Arabidopsis thaliana: one gene and its partners. The protein of the gene in region 3 interacts with the protein of the main gene of each other region in a pairwise test. Each region holds a gene or a part of one and is shown on either strand. Other genes may lie near its edges. The genes, in order: MUR3, AT4G21060 and CSLC04.

Region 1 (4,924 bases), on a different chromosome or scaffold from region 3:
CAAGTGGGTATGAGGAGAAGATGGTTTGGTGCGCAGAAATTTCCCTTGAAAAGCGCAGCAAGAAAGAGATTTGGGGGAAGATCGAGTGGTTCGATGCAGTTCTTAGAGTCCCTAAGTATTACCAATTCGTTGGGGCTAAATCTGCTACTGTTTGACAGGTTTGAGCGCTTATAAATATGATCTGCAGTCACTTGCTTTGTAGGATGATGGTTTAAGCTTATTTAGTGAGTTCTTTTTCTTTTAGTGCCTGACATTGTTTTTGCTTATAAATATGATCTGCAGTCACTTGCTTTGTAGGATGATGGTTTAAGCTTATTTAGTGAGTTATTTTAGTGCCTGACATTGTTTTTGCTTATAAATATCTGGCATTGACTTGCTTGTAGATGATTAAGCTTATTTCGGGACTTGTCTGTCTCTTTGATTAACCCTTTGATGACAAACTCGGTCTGCTACTGTTTGATGAATGATGCATGAGACTAGCGGGTAATGTCCGTTTTTAGTTCTGAATATGTGTTGCAAATGCAAAATGTCAAATGCAAACGAAATTAAACATAGGCACTGTCTTCAGTTAGAAACTTGAAAAGGGTCACTTCTTATTATTAATTTCTGTGGGTAACTGATACAAACAAACTTATCTCTATGAAACTGGAGAAACTACATTTGATACCAATACAACAAAAATAAATCATTTTTTGTCCGTATAAATAGTAACCGAAAACTATATCAAAACCGTAACAAAATGTGGTTTCTGTCTCTTTTCACTGTGTCTTATCTCTCTGCTCACTCTTCCATGAATTCTTAGCTGCATCTGCTGAAATAGTCGTGCCTCCATTACCATCGCTGCTGCCATCTTCTCCGGGCTTTGGTTTGGAGAAGAACGGGTCCCACACATGGCCCCCTGCTTCCCGTTGGCCTTCCTCCAGCAACGCATACTTCCAGCTGTTCTCCTCCACGAAGTAGTCATACTCGGTTCGGCCCTCGATCATGTTCTTCCTTAACCGAGTCACCTTGTCTATCACAGCCTGTACCGAGACATCAAATGCATCTTTCTGCGTCTCCAGTTCTGATCTCGGGTCTGCGTAGATCAGCCTTGGGATGAGGTTGATGACATTCTCTCTCATTATCTTGACCTGCTTGGCTGGAATCTGGAGGAGTCGCTCCTCGATGCTTATGTTTCTCTTCCGAACATCATCCTCGGGGATGAATACCGAGTAGGTTGTGTAGTTCTTGGGTAGATGCCACGTGTATTGCGTGTAGGCTGAACCCGGATGGAAGAAGACCGGTATACAACCGGCAAGCATTGAGTCAAATGCCGATCTTCGGGTGTAAGAGTCTCCCTGTGGCTGCAGGCAGAAGAGAGAGCTTTGAAACATTTGCATAATGCTGCTTGGTGCATGGCATTTGCTCTCCCCAAAATCGCATTCTAATAATTTGCCAACATTTGAGTTTCGACATTGATCAATGATCTGCCCTCTGATAGATTTCGGATTGTCAGGTCGTGGGGCTCCTGCAAACGAGAAAAGCCACTTCCTTTCCAGGTTTCTCATCCGGTCTTGCCATTCAAAAACCTCTGAGTCCTTTGCTGGGTGGAAGTAGGTTGGGTACGGGATCCCAAAATCATTAGCATTCCATGGGCTCGACTCAACCACAAGCATAGACATGTTCTTGGCAGCCGGTAAGAAGAGAAGCTTGTTGCCCCAATCAGTTTCTTCTTCAGACAATCTCCTAAAATCCCACGTTATCCTACCCGCCACAAGGAAATGATCTTTTCCCCTCATTATATCCCACTCAGGCCGCTTCATGAGCCAATCGACCAACTCAAGCGAAGCAGCATCCCTTCTCGAGATATTGTATCCCCACAGATACCTAGCAATGTCGAATCCAGCATAGAACGGCACAAAGATGGCAGCAGCAAGGGAAGAATCATTTGTCAAACATTTGTACTGCTTCATCCGGTTGCTGAATATCACATCAACAGCAAACTGATTAGTCGCATACCAACCTTCATCAGAGAAGACACCTTCAACATTCTCAAGCGGCGGCCCAAGGCCAGCATTGGTTGTGAACTTACACATGTTAGTCCAGAGACTAAGCTTCTTACAGTCTCTAAGCATATCCTCATTGAACTTTGAGGGTAGATTGTGAACATAAATGTACTTCCCTCCACAAGGGTCACTCTTGTTGTCTACTGTCTTCAAGGCTCTTATAAACGAAAACTCCTGTTTCTTCCCGCTCTCAACAATTCTAGGTGGCTTAAAGGTGGAACTAGAATTGGCTACTGGTGCAGGAGGGAGTATTGGCTTATCGATAGTAACTAAAGGCTCTTTGGGAGGTGGTTTCGATGGAGCTGCATGAGGCTCTATAGGGAATTTATCAACACGAAGAGAGACTGATGATGGCTGAGATTGAGCATAACTAGGTTGCAATTGGAGCTGTTTATCAATGTTACTAGTCCCTAAGACAACAAAATGGAAGTACAACAACAATGCCCAGAAAAAGAGTGACAAAGCAACCAACAAACAGATTCGATTAGTCTGATTTTTTCCATTTCCCTTCTCCATTGGCTCTGTAGGAGAAACTTCAGCAGAGCGACGCCTCATAGAAACCCTTGGAAACATATATAGAGTGTACGAAGATCACAACATCTATACAATAAAGATCAAACTCAAACAAAACCCTAAAGAGTAAAACCAACTCCTATCAAAGCTTATCAAAGCTTCTAGAAGTGATTTTTACACGAGATCGAAGTAATTGAAGCTGAACCGTAGCTCAGGAGCAACTCCAGAAAGGAATCAGATTTGAGAATGTAGAAGTGTACCGACAAGGATCCGCAAGAGAAGGAGCTACGAGGAAGAAAGAAAGATTACAGCTTTTGATTGATCCTTCTATGGAAGATCTAGAGATGTGTGAAAGTAAAGATTTTTAACATTGATGAGGCCAGGATTGATGGATTTTGACCTGGCTTTGAGCTGGTCTTCATCACCGTCAATGAAAGAAAGAGAGACTTCTGTATAATGTAATTGAAAGCGCACGTTAGTCGGACGGCTAAATCTGCGCCGGCAGTTTTTTCTTGTAGTTGTCGGTGACCAGTGGGACCTTGCCACGTGTGAAAACATGTCGGTTTCAAGTGTCGATGACGTCAGATATAAACCTCTTTGACTCAGTTTCGCGCGTAACGTGCGATTTCGACGAGCGTGTGGGTACGATTCCATGTGTAATCATGTGAGTGGTTTGTAGCATGCTATACGTTGGAAATAACACAAATCGCAGAATTTGATGGTAAGCACTAAGCATGAACCAAAACACGTTGTAACATGATTACTTCAAGTTCAAGCTCATTGTTTAACGTCTCTCTGCTAATCAATTAGTATTTCAATAAGTACATAAGTTTTGACTGCCTTAGTTTGAATGTTGTGTAGAAATAGGTTAATATTTTTGTTGAGACCAAATCTCGTGCATGATGTCCAACTAATGATGACGGATTGACAGTAAGCATAAAGCAGATGACTAGCCTTTTTGCAAACCTAATTACATAAATAATTAAGTCTAAACAAAGACCAAAAATGCTCCAAAATGACTTTGTTTGTATGAAACTATTGATGTAGGTCGAATAAGAGAAAAGAGACATTAGAATGCAAAACAAAATGCACTGCTTTGTTTTATTGATGAGTAAAATTTTGTTAGCCAGTTGAAGATTTAAGTTTTGTTTTCGTTTGTTTAAATTCAAAATTAGAGATAGTTTATATGAATACTGGTGTCTAATTTATGGTGGTAAATCCGTAAATGGTTCCATAGTAGGTAATAAATATGCTCGTATTGAAAACAATTTTCTACAAGTCTAAAGTAGATAAATATCTAAATTAAAATTGAATAGTATAAAATTCAAAAACAGGTCAAAGCGAATTAGGAGAATTACATTCGAACTTAGAAAAAATGTTTGTCGTCTAAGTCGGGATTAGTAGTGTAAATGTTGAAGTGTTCAAGGGGGAGACTCCACTTCCATACACTCATAAATAACAAACCAAAAAGAGCGAAAATTAAAAAAACTTAGAAACTTTAAGCGACAAACGTGGCTTGTGGGAGTGGGGAAGTTTGTGCTCCCCAATGTATAACTCACATGGATACCACAAAAGGACTTGCAAAAAAACTTACTTACTCCTCCTTTAAATAATTGAAGAGAGTTATGGACTAGCATTAAGTATTTCCCAACAATAAGTATTAAAAAAGAAATCACTTTTGATTCTTTAATTATTTGTTACAATTGGTGAACATGTAAGGGTGATTTGGAAAAGTGGGGTGGGGATTAATTATTGAACAAATTCATAATTAAGAATTATATTCTCTTGAAATGCTCTTGAATCAGTGAACACCAATGAGATCGTGGTCTTCTAATCATCATCATCTAATGGGAGGGTGGGAAAATGCATGGAAAGAAAATTTCTAGCTAATTGATAGATCTGTATTCGTCAAATCGCCAAATCGGTACTTGTAGTTATAATCCGGTGGTTGAGAATCTTGAGATTGTAATTGGTAACGTACTTCATAGCTTTTAATCCTGTACCCTCTTGATATCGTCACGTCGTTTGTCCCACTAGACTACTACATAGTTTATATGATTGGACTATAGCATTAATCTTCGATTTAATCTGGAATGATATGAATTAAGACAACATATGGTGTGTTTTTGACTGTTATAGATAGGAACTTTCTGGAATAATCTACAAATTAGGACATAGATAAGTATAACTAAATCGAGGAAACAATTATAGGCGAGATCGTTCTTACTTCTTAGCATGATCATCGGTTGATGGGGAGATCTATACGGAACCACTTTCCTTCCGGAACCAAGAGGAGAGGAAGAGAATGAATACTAGAAACATGTTAAAAAGACAGACCAAACATAACCCAACCTTAATCAAGGTCA
Region 2 (6,335 bases), on a different chromosome or scaffold from region 3:
AATCAATCCGTCTTTCGAGTTTTCTTCATTACAGTTGCTTCTGCTATTGACCTGCACACTCTTAAGATTGATGTTTAGATGTTCTGTTTATACAATCAGGATTCTGATCAATTCATCTGTATACTAACCAAACTTGTTGTCTCTATGGGTATGTCACATCTACCGGATGAGGATTATGGCAAACACTGAAGAAAACAACTCAGTGACATCTACCTGGATCTTGTGGATGCCCTCTTCCATTTCCCCATCTTGCAAAAGCTGGAAATCTTTCAGTGAAGCGCAAGAAATGCAGATGATTAAGGAAATGCGACTTGATGAAAGCCAAAATCTTGATAACATGACTCAAGAACTTAAAGACCAGCAGAGTAGTATAAATGTATAATACAGTGACCTTGGCTTCTCTTTCTTGGTAGCCCCATAGTGTTATGGCAAAGACGTTTTGAAAGAATTTGTTTAGATATCAGTGTAAATCTCTTTCTTAGACAAAATCCTAATCAATGTACAATAAGAGATTGTTATCTTGAATGTGTAAATGTAAGCAACTAGCACCAAAGAGGAAAAATTACAAAATGGGTTAAGGTGGTGCCAAATCTGTAATCCTGTAATATCTTCCGGCTAGTGCTATGTTTTGGTCATCTGAAATTGCAACATTGTGGTCGACCTTTCAACAAATTATCCCACAGGCACATCATTTGACTCGGAGATTGATAATGTGCAGTGTAATAGTTCAGTGTGCATCCGTATTGGCAAAATTTCCAGCTGTGTGAGTATTCGACAGGCTGCATAGAGGCGTTGAATTGCTCCACCCACAATCCCATGCTCACATCTTCCATCTTGAATAGCTGTGACAACAAAGTCGAAATAGTTTGAAAATGTTAGGAGACTCTTATGTTCATGACAGTAAAAGATGGAGATGAACGTAAGACGATGATAAAGGGTCAGACCCTAAGCTTATGTCTTGAATTCTGAGAAACAATATATTTAGCAATGTTGCTTGAGATTATGTATCCGGGTCCATTGGCATAAGGAGGATACACAGCTTCTGGCCACTCCTGTTACAGTATAAGAGAAAATTTAGTATCTGAGGCTGCTTCTGATTTCTGAATCATACAGACTATATGCAGGTAAAGAACAGAAGCCATTGTACCTCCCATGTAACTGTCCACTTGCCAGTTCTAAGAGGACGATGTCTAAGATTTAGATTCCCCATATAAAGTGATTTTTCTGGAGAGACTCCATCGATTTGTTTCAAAATTGATTCCACTCTGATGAAGGTATCATCGTCACACTTCATTATATATGGCGCTGTCACATTCTGGACCTGAATGGAAGATATTCAGACTCTCATAATTAGATTTGTGTAAAGTAACTACAATGAGGGAAACTGTTCATTTACTGATCCTTATCAGAGATTGTTCAAAGACTTAAACAGATATGGAGTCATGAGAGAAATGATCAATACCCCAAATTCACAAATGGCAATTGTCTTAAGGACCACTAGCTCATATCGATCCATAAAGGGCAGAATCACAATATCTCCAAAATATTCAGCCTCCTTCTTTAGCATTGCATTAACTTCCTTTCTTGGATTCTACACAAAACAAATCAACAAAAACACATAAACTGCTCAGTATTCCAAAGCATAAGAACTTCAAATCAGCAAATCTCCATCTCAATGTTTCAATTAAATCGACCTGCAGTATTAAACTTCTTAAAGATCATGCTTTAAAATAAGGAAAGATTGTAAGAACTTACAAGTGCAACAAAGAATCGGGCTACTACATCTGAAGATTTAATAGAAGGATGTTGCATCCATGTCTTTCTCACTGCCATGCGCTCTGAAAAATGGTTAGTTGCAGAGAGAACACCCATGAAAAGGCGAAAAGGAGTGCCAGGTAATGGAGGAGCTTTCCATTCTGAAGAAAACTCTATAGCTTTCTGCGGTGAGAAACTCGGATGAGATGTTGAAAGAGAAGTAGCATGAATAGAATGAATATCAACATCTCCTGTAACTGCCAGCCCTGTGGCATCTTCTATGGTAAATCCCTGAGAGGCCAGACATCACAAAATATTTTACAAAGTTATCAGACATGGACGAGATGAATCCTCTTGGTTTGAACAAATGATACTATTGAGTGCTGAGACCAAAGCCATATACAAGTAGAATGCTCATCTGATATCACATACCGGTCGATAAGGGAATGAAGACACATGTCTTCCACCAACATTAATATGGAAACCATCAATTCCAGCTCGCAAAGTTAGGACAAAGACCTTGCCTTCCGCAAAAGGGAATGACCAAGTGACTTCTGGTTTTTGTTCACGTCCTATAAACCGTTTGAACCATGATGTTGTCTTTGATTCCTTTGAGTCCACCATGTCAATTATGTCATTCTGCGTCCACTTTTCACATCTTCGGAATCCGTCAACTGGAAAAGTACATTTACTTAGATGAAGAGAAAACAAAAAGAAACATAACTACACAGCAATAAAAAAGAAGCTAAGGTAATTCAAACTTAGACTTCTGAGCATGGACTTGCTACATTCCGGCAACTAACAACAGTTTATGATGGATGCTCAAAATCTTACCAAGCACGTCTGCGTCCTTCTTGGATGGAGTACCATCACATCTTTGAGCAACCCCCCACTGCATCCTATAACATGTATTGTGTTCAATGACTGGTCGGTGATTCCAATCACCTTTGATCCTAGGGTTCAAATGAAGAATCTTAGGGGGGTATTCACCGTCCCCTGTCTTCAGCCCTTGCAACTCAACCATAAATTGTGAAACCAAAACCATTCCATAGCTTCTTGTCAATCTCGAACGCTGAGGAACAGATTCTTTATGAGCATACTGTGGAGTTCCAAGAATTGTAATAGAAGATCCTGCAGCAAGACCACAGGGAAGCAACATGATCCTATTGGCTTTATTCAAGTCATCTCCATTCATTGAGATCTGAGAAGGACATGACTCCACCTTTCCTTCGAATATAGAAGCACTCTCGTTGATCTTATCAACCTCAAACTTATCAACATCTTCCCAAGCCTTGGATCCAAGTATCCAAGCCTCATCTGCCATTCTTTCAAAAGGTGACATATGAATAGTCCTATTCCTACGTCTCATGACCTCTCCTGATATTCGACCATACCGAAACAGAAGTGGCTGAATCTGTTTAGATCCATTAATCTTCTCTTCTGGTGACACCTTCTGAGTAGTAGAAGGCCCACTTTGATGATCTTCATCTTCTAGCTTCCTATTCAACATGTCATTACGTAACGATCCGCTTAAACTAACATCTAAACTAGTATCACTTAATGCCCCATCTAAACCAGTATCACCACTCAACATAGCAACCATCTCAATGAAATGTGGGAACTTAAAAGCTAAGAAAACCAAGTAAAACCCTGCTATAGCTAGTAAGAAATGTGACAACTTGAACCTCCTAGAACTATAAACTCCTCTAAAAGATTCGCTTTTTACTCTTTTCATTGTGAGGGTCAACTAAAAATTACTACCTTCCACAATCAAAATCACTCGACTTGTTGATTCACAAGACGAATTAGTGCCACAAAACTGCACCTGGAGTACCTAAAATGTAGCCAATTCATCGAACAACTTCATTGAAAGAAGTAAAGGAGATTTATAACCTGAGAATCCGGTAAAGAGAAGGATTCTAAACCCCACAATAGCAGCTAAATCTCGACACGATCTGAAGATCAATAGAGTCTACGAAATCCAATCAAAGCAACCCAAATGTCTCAATTTGACACGAGAATTTGAAAAAGACGAAATTTGTTTTAAAAATCTCGTCTTTTGGCGAAGAAGAAATAGATAAAGTCACTAACTCAAACAAAACAAAAAACCAATGAAGCAGAGCAAATCTCCACCTGATTTGAGCAGTTTTATCTCCTTGAATCTAGGGCTATTAGAGAAATAAAACAGAGGAGAAAAACCCACTCAGGAGATGAATTGAGAAATCGGAAGGAACCTTTTTTCATTTTTTAAATTTTAAAAACCACCAAATGGTCTCTCTATTCTTAACAATATTCACATGTGTATAAATTTAGTCAAAAGTCTCACTAAGAACAACGAATCAAGGGTTTTTAAAGTCGTTGATTTCTCTGTTATTTATCTCCAAAATTACATATTCTTATCTATAAAGATTTTGTTAAATGTTAGGAATGAATAATTAAATAAAAATAAAACTTTTAAACATACATATTTGTTTGTTATGAAAATGTGCAAAACATTCCATTTTTACTATTTCGAACTAAGTATCTTCAAAACTACACATCCTTATTAAAACGGGGTTTCGATCGAAAATTACAAACGATAACCAAAAGGTATAAGTGTATAACATGTATTATTAATCAGACCTTTTAAATAAAAATAAAAAGGTCTGAACTATATAATATAAACGGGTGCATACAAAAATATCGACCCGATCATTAAAAAATACAACATTAGTACGTAGATCTTAGTTTTCGAAGACAGAAAAAGAGCTTCGAAAATTCTTAGAGCTGCTAGATCCGGAAATAGAAACCGAAATAGACGAAGAGGAATAAGAAGAATTAGGTGAATAAACATGTTGATGAGATGTCTTCATCATCACCACCATCCCACCATTGAAAGAATCTTCTTTATTCTCTTCTTCTTTGATTGTGTCTAGCTTCTGCTTCGCTGCTCTATGCCTCCTCATAACCGTCACAAATTGAGGTGGAGCAACCTCTGATACAAACCTAGCTAGACGAGAAGTAGCCATTTGTTTTTATGGTCAGTCATTAACAAGAATAGTGTTTATAGAAATCAAAGAAATGATTTGAGAGGTATATGATGGTTTGATTTATGAAATGTTTGAGATACGAAACTCGTATATATATGTGGATGAGTTTGTTAATTACCCGCGACGTAGGGCATTTGTTTTTGACGTTTTGCACCGTCAATAGCTTTTGCTATTTAATGTATAGACACGTGTAGTGTAAGTCTTTATTTGTTTTGTCGCGATCAATTTATTTTGTCTCAAAAATTTAAAAGCATTACATAGAAATTACACCAAATTTACGATCGTAATCATTTTTATTGTTATTATTTCAGCTTATTCAATAGAAAAAAAAAACCCTTATAAGTGTATTTCATAACGATATAATTAAAAGTTAAAAATATTTTAAAACAGTATATAATGAAACGGAGGTAAACAAAAATTAGAAGGAAATGCAGTATGGTTAGTTAATTCACTCAAAAAATTCATGTAACCATATAGCTAATTCACTATATGGTGATAATGCATTTGCCAACTTTTGAAAACGATAGGGATAATGAAGTTAAGAAAGCTTATTATAAAAAGGAAAGAGTGAGCACGTTTCAAATTCCTTGTGGAAGACCTCATCTCTATCTCTGTCGGAATCGATGACTGACAAAATCTAGCTTTTTCCCTTGCATTAACCGGCGGTCTTATGATAATCCACGTCTATACTAACACAATCTGGACGTTTTGTCAATGTCCTTGTTATATCAGATTTTCTTTAATTTCATTAAGATTTTGTCTATGAAAGTGGCCGTTTTGGCTCTCGAAAATCTGAGAGAGCAAGTTGTAACTATTCATTTATGTTTTTATTAGGTCTTTAACCATATAGTCATAATTACCTATAAAATAAAATTATTTATTAAGAAACACATTTTTCAATAATTAATTAAAATTTTAAAATCTAGAAATTCATTAAAGACTATAAATGTTGTATTAATTAAAACATAGATTTCAACGAATTTCTAAGTATTAATTACATCATTGTTGATTCGTCATATATTTAATAAATAATCTCAATTTCTTTTGGTTCACATATCTACTTTATAGTTGGCTACTAACATTTTAGGATTTCTTTTGGAGAATTAATATTGATAATATTTAATTCTGAACATTTCACAATCGAGACTAAGGTTTAATCAATTAATTCTCACAACGGAAATCGAACTCGTGTTGAGATTGTTCGAGAAATATCTCTAGTTCTTATTGTATATATAAAAAGGAAAAAGGATCAAACAACTTTCTTTTTTTTTGGACAACCTTGTTTTCATTCGATTTAGAGAATTGAGTTCATACAAGCGAGGAGACCTCTTTTGCCAAGGCATCAGCCTAAAATTTTGCTTTCGCGAGATTAAAAAAAAAATTACAAGCATCAAAGAAATTGGGAATTAAACAACTTATGTCTGAATATTTTGGGACTTAAACAAAGATGCAAACTTTTATAACTAAAAAAAGACCCAACATAAACCATGCATAAACGAAACTAATAAAAAAAAAAGAAGTAGAAACGATGGACTGGAACATTAACTTCCG
Region 3 (5,974 bases):
TAACAAATATGGTTAGTTTAGAGATATTGTTTATATTAAATTTGGTAATTAAATCATTAATTTTTGTTTTTAATTATTAGTTTTTAGGTAACTTTTCCAAAAATTAATGTTATCCAAGATCAGAACAGAATTAAACATGTTATCCAAGATCCGAACAGAGTTAAACCGGGTTATACCCACCCATTTGAATTAATTGTTGAATTATGGCTCAAATCTTCAACATTATCTTCAAAAACGTCTACAAAAATGTATATATAGATAACTAATCTGATCTCTATCTACACTTCTTTTGAGTATTTTTCCGAGACAAATTAAACTATGACTAGACAAATTATCATTTGTAATCTTTCCACTAATGAGAATAGTTTGTAGTTCCATTCATTCTGTCCACAAATGCTATGGTAATCAAATCAAAGTTGAGAAGACAAAAATATTTTCTATTAGAGGTAATGTGATTGAGTAATTGTGATTGAAATACTGTTGAATATTTATCCAAACAAAACATCTAAGAGCTATGATTTTTTAAAGTTAAGCCAAAATCATATAACAAATTCGTTTCAATTCATTTATCTGAAACTGGACATTATAAGTTCTTGAAAATTATGTATAAAACCCACATATAAAAAGGGAAAAGAATTTAAAAAACAAACAAAAAAATAGTGAATATAAACGGTATTTTTTTCCTTGTTCTCTGTCTTGGTTTTGTGTGTGTCTAGCTGATCTGTTCTCCGATCAAATCCAACCCTACAACCAAGAAAGACAGTCCCTGAAACAACAAAAAGTAGAAGTGAAGACCGTGCGCCGATAGAAAGCTCCTTGCAGCTGCGGTTAGCAGCAAGAACGCAAGCCCGAGCTCTTTCTTGAACACCATGTTCGTCTTCTTCTTGTTCTTCGGCCTCATTAGCCCTCCAAGGCTCTTCTTCACGGTTTCTTGCCCTACAAGATTTGTCTCTTGCTCCTTAAGTTTGCTCAGAAGCTCCAAACCTGACTCCGAGTTTCTCCTATGCAACTTCTCTTCCTTTTCAGCAAACGCTAGCAAATCGGACTCCGATGATCTCCCGGTTTTCTTCGTCACAACCCACTCGTAAGCCGATCCAAACTGAAACAGCCCGGAGATCATGGCGTTGAACTTGGTTATTGACATTGTGTTTTCGAAAAGAAGGTAAGGGACTAAGAAAGGGAAAGATTTAGGTGACGGGAGAATGTTGAGAAGCGAAATGAAGATAGGAACATAGCAGATGATCCACAACGGAAGCTCGGCTTCGGGTATGAACATTGTCAATGGAAGTATAATGCAAAAGAGTGTGAATGAGTAAAATGGTAGAATAAGCTTCCTTAGAAGAAAGAAAAGGAAGATCAAATTCGCCTTCTTCCAAACCGATATCTACAAACACAAAAACAAACAATGAGTATATGTAATGATGTTTAACTACTATCACTAGTTGTAGAAATAAACTTTTACCTTTGATTTGATAATTGAAGGAAGGCATAACCGGAACAGCTGCATAGGACCGGAATGCCAACGATGTTGTTGCTTCTTGTAAGCTTCATAAGACTCTGGCAACTCGCAAGTGACTTCAACATCATTAAGGTAAATAAACTTCCAGCCGTTGAGATGCGCTCTAACCGCGATATCCATATCTTCCACGGTGGTTCTCTCGAGCCATCCGCCGGATTCTTCCAATGCCTTGATCCTCCATACTCCAGCGGTTCCATTGAATCCGAAGAAATTGAGAAACACACCGTTCACTTGTTGTTCTACTTCGAAGTGGAAACATAAGTTTATGTTTTGTAGCCTCGTGAGGAGATTCTCATCTTTGTTCACAAATGACCACCTTGCTTGGACCAACCCTAGCTCTGGATTACCCTGTGCAAACAAACAACACAACACTCGTAAGAATCTTGATATTCAAAAATGTTTGCATAAATGTAAACTTCCACATGAATATACTTTTACATTTTAACAAAATCTATTGACTAGTCTACTTAAAAATTCCGGTCTCAGTCATCTTGAGTTCGACTCCAACAACCCACATGAAAAATAAGATATGCTCTTTAGGTGGGGTACATAAAAATAAAATAATAGAATTTCGATTTTTCACAAAACAATAACTTATAAAACAATTATTATTATAATATGTAAATGTAAAAACAAAGGAATAATTGAAACCCGGAATCAAACAGAATCAAGATTAGCTTCAACTAGATTGAATTTGAAGACTTGTCATGTTAGAAAAATCAACCAAAGAAGTCATGAGTTTTGTAATTTCATATTTGTCGGTTACTTCGATTTCATACATAACAAATTACCAAATTGGATTTTCCTAACATAAAACCAAAAATACAAAAAACAATATAAAAATTTGTCGGTTACTTAGAACATGATCCACCGAAAAATAGATAAAACCAGCAAAGACAACTGTCGGTGATGAGTATAATCAAAAAAATATTTTCTATCAAAAAAGTGTAAAAAAGAAACAAATCTTTTTCCAGTGAATTTCTCTAAAACATTCATCGTAAATTACGAAACGTCAAGAAAGAAGTTTCCTTTTATAAGTTTGGGAATAAAGAGATTGTGTTCTTACCTTGAAATGAGGAACAGTCTTCTTGAGGAAATCAGGATTTGGTGTGAAATCTGCGTCGAAGATAGTCACAAACTCGTAATCTTTAACGTAATCACAAGTCATGGCTGATTTCAAATTGCCAGCTTTGTAACCAGTTCTGATCAACCTATGCCTGTAAATTATGTTTACGCCTTTTTCGGCCCAAACCGATACTTCTTCTTTGATCAAAAGCTGTAAATTTGGATCGTCTGAATCATCTAATACTTGAATTAAGATCCTATCTTTTGGCCAATCAAGTTGTGAAGCTGCTCCTATTGATTGTTCATACACCTAGAAGAAAACAAAACATAACAATTATACTATGTAAGAGAAAACAGAACATAAAACAGAATAAAAACAGAGTAAAAACAGAGCAACACAGAGTAAAACCAAAGTGAAAACAGAGTAAAAACAGAGTGTTTATAGTTTACCTCTCGTTCGTTGCACATTGGGATCTGAATAAGGACCATTGGGAAACTGGAGGGGTCTTCTAAATCGATAGATTCTTCGGTGAGCTTAGGTTCGATCTTTTTAAATTTGATCCAAAAGCAACCGAGACAGAGGACTAACCGATCAAGAGACTGAATCAAAAAGAGTACAGTGCAGAATCTGGAGAGACTGATGACAAGAGGAGCGATGTAATCGGATCGAAACGAGAGCCAAGCCATGTACGACCATTCGACAAGCCCGTAAACCTCCCAAGACGGTCGGTTAATGAGATCAAGATTCCATTTCTTGAAATGTGCAACGATTTCTATGGACAAGGCAATAATGGAGATGACAAGACAAGCTTTGATGAATCTGTACATTTGTTTTCCTCTGCTTTTAGGATCTTCTTCTTCGTTAATGTTCTTCGCGGAGAACGCGATTCGCTTTTTAACCGAAGAGACTAGCCACGAGAGACACGAGATGAGTCTATGAGCTTTGAGAAGAAGGAACCATGAGAATTGTTTTGGACTGATGGATTTACGTTTGTCGGGGAATGAGGATGGATCTGAGCCGTTGATCTCTAGTAAAGAGAAGTTGTCTGGCTTCTCCATTGTCACTGCTACTGAATTTGGAGCCATGAATGATAAAGAAACAGAGAAGGGTGAGAAGAATAAAGAAAAGGTATTTGTGTATTTTGGTACTATGAAATGTTTGTCATTATAAAGAAGTGTAGAAGAATCGTCACTGTTTCATTAAATTTTCCATAAAAACAGGATCGTTTGTTTATGTTACACAGACAAAACAGTGTTCTGATTAGATCAGAATGTGAGATACTTTGGGTTCAGCTGTGTAACTGAAACTTGTGATTGAGAGAGAGAAAGAAAGAGAGACGAGGATCATGTGCTGAAGTGAACCAACTAAGTAAATAAAGAGGAGAGGAGAAGAAGAAGAAGAAGAAGAGAGTTCTCCTTTCTTTGAATTTTCCTCTTTTGTTTTTGTAAAGGAAGATTTTATTTAATTATTTTCTTTGTTTGAAAAGTCCAATTTTTATTAGTGGGATCTATTTCCAGCGTGCATAACTAAAGAACAAATTATATTTATTTATGACAAAAAAAGAAAATTTGATTTCTTACTATATGATCAATTTACTATTTTATTTTAGATTCTATAACAAATGATTCAAATGATAACTAATTTGTAAATCCCGTGAATTTTATTTTAATATTTTTTTATCAATCAATCTTTATTTAGAGTTCAGAATCCCGTGAAAATTATTAAAGTAAACATACTCGGAAGTTATGGTTACGTGTTTTTTTTATTAATTTTCAGAAATTACTAATTTATGTAGTTAATTTAGAGGCATTTTTTTTGATATATTGTATAGACAATAAAAGTTTATCAAGTACTAATCTAGTATTTAAAGAAGGCTAATGAAGAAGGCTAACGCATATAATCAAAGATTAGTTGGGTTTTCTTTCATATCATTTTTTTATATTAGTTAACGTGAAAATTTTAATTTGATGTTAAATACATTTTATCTTATATGTTAGTAGTTTGGAATCATTTTTTTTTGCCAGTCTTCTAAGTAAATTAAAAAATAGTAACCGATTTTTTTGACCAAAATCAATCCTAATGGTTTTAGCCTTTTAGGTGGAACGATTTGGTTTAAAGTTACTTTGTTAAGCAAATCCGCGTCTAGTGATTTGATTAAGTAGGAGAGAGACTGCTGTTTATATTATTTTGGGGAAATTTACATCTTTATAATTATACCCATAAAATGAAAATACTTTACTTAAAAAAAGCTATTGGCTTATGGATCTTACGCGATATGTCCAGTCATAAAACTGCGTTTATACATGCATGTGTGTGTATTAAAGAAAAACAAAATGAATGAGAAGAAAAACACAAAGAAAAAAAAGAGATGATTCCAAGAAAAGGCCAAAAATCAATTTGTATGATTGGTAAGGAATTTGGAGGATGACAACTTGGTCCAGCGATGACCAGATTAAACTTATAAAAATGTAATTAGATCAACTTTACTAAATTATAATATTACTTTAACTCAAAGTAATGGACTATGTTGTCGCTTCACTGTCTTCCAACTTTTTTTATTTGATCTTGTTGATTCAAAGTGTTAAATGAATTATCCAGTTACTGTAACCCTTTGATTTGGATAATTTTTCATTTCCAAGATAAATTTTCACTTATTCACAAACATTTAGCTTGTGATTTATCATCGATGATCAACGGAGTACAAGAGATAATAGAGCATGTTAGAAGTCCCACCTCAACTCTATGGCAGATTAGACAAATGTCATGGGTTTATTGTTAATTTTAAAAAAATTCTTAATGATAAAAGGTTTAATATTATTTTACTAAAAGATTTTAGATTTTTGTTGATTTTGCTAGAAGCTCAACGATATACTGCATGTTATTGTTAGATGGGTTCGATTATGTCATGCTTGTGTCACAAGACGTTGCAAAGTAAATCAAATCAAATCTATTTCACTTATATATATAATCAAAAATATGGATCTCATTTTCACAATTATCATATTTTTTTATAGACATACTGATATATATATTGGTTCTCTCTGGTCAAAAAGTTTGTTGGATGCAGGATTAAATTAGAACAGTATTTTTGAAAAGAAATTACAACAGTAATATATTTGATAGATATCGACAGTGTAACAACATGTAAAATGTGAGTAAACTATAATCACGATATATGTTTTATGTTTTAACTATTAACCCAAAACTATATGAATACAAGCTGTGTAGTAAAATTCCATAACAAAAAGATTTAATATTTTCAAGTCTAAGAAAAAGACAATAACCGTAACCGGCGGTGAGAGAAGAAAATCACATGGGAAGTTTCTATTTTACGAACATAAAATATTATTATATTAAAATATATATTCTATAATATCTTATATCACAAC

Evidence for each region.
Region 1: the proteins of CSLC04 (region 3) and MUR3 come close enough for resonance energy transfer, tested with the Arabidopsis thaliana proteins (one study listed by BioGRID).
Region 2: the proteins of CSLC04 (region 3) and AT4G21060 come close enough for resonance energy transfer, tested with the Arabidopsis thaliana proteins (one study listed by BioGRID).

What each region holds. Positions count from the first base shown.
Region 1 is NC_003071.7:8,790,049-8,794,972, reverse strand, and holds MUR3 (Exostosin family protein), read right to left. Parts: upstream 3,035-4,924; 5' UTR 2,619-3,034; coding exon 759-2,618; 3' UTR 572-758; downstream 1-571. Other genes in the region: AT2G20380 (Galactose oxidase/kelch repeat superfamily protein), read left to right, coding at 1-155; AT2G20362 (uncharacterized protein), read right to left, coding at 4,818-4,924. UniProt on the Arabidopsis thaliana protein: Involved in the attachment of the Gal residue on the third xylosyl unit within the XXXG core structure of xyloglucan, the principal glycan that interlaces the cellulose microfibrils in plant cell wall.
Region 2 is NC_003075.7:11,239,158-11,245,492, reverse strand, and holds AT4G21060 (Galactosyltransferase family protein), read right to left. Parts: upstream 4,764-6,335; coding exon 4,587-4,763; intron 3,968-4,586; exon of another isoform or gene 3,728-3,967; coding exon 3,649-3,727; exon of another isoform or gene 3,491-3,648; coding exon of another isoform or gene 3,406-3,490; coding exon 2,590-3,405; intron 2,430-2,589; coding exon 2,188-2,429; intron 2,047-2,187; coding exon 1,756-2,046; intron 1,592-1,755; coding exon 1,463-1,591; intron 1,322-1,462; coding exon 1,148-1,321; intron 1,053-1,147; coding exon 945-1,052; intron 843-944; coding exon 633-842; downstream 1-632. UniProt on the Arabidopsis thaliana protein: Possesses hydroxyproline O-galactosyltransferase activity. Transfers galactose from UDP-galactose to hydroxyproline residues in the arabinogalactan proteins (AGPs). Is specific for AGPs containing non-contiguous peptidyl hydroxyproline residues.
Region 3 is NC_003074.8:10,503,806-10,509,779, reverse strand, and holds CSLC04 (Cellulose-synthase-like C4), read right to left. Parts: upstream 4,070-5,974; 5' UTR 3,671-4,069; coding exon 3,035-3,670; intron 2,895-3,034; coding exon 2,586-2,894; intron 1,868-2,585; coding exon 1,463-1,867; intron 1,385-1,462; coding exon 713-1,384; 3' UTR 515-712; downstream 1-514. UniProt on the Arabidopsis thaliana protein: Beta-1,4-glucan synthase rather involved in the synthesis of the xyloglucan backbone than cellulose. Seems to work simultaneously with xyloglucan 6-xylosyltransferase.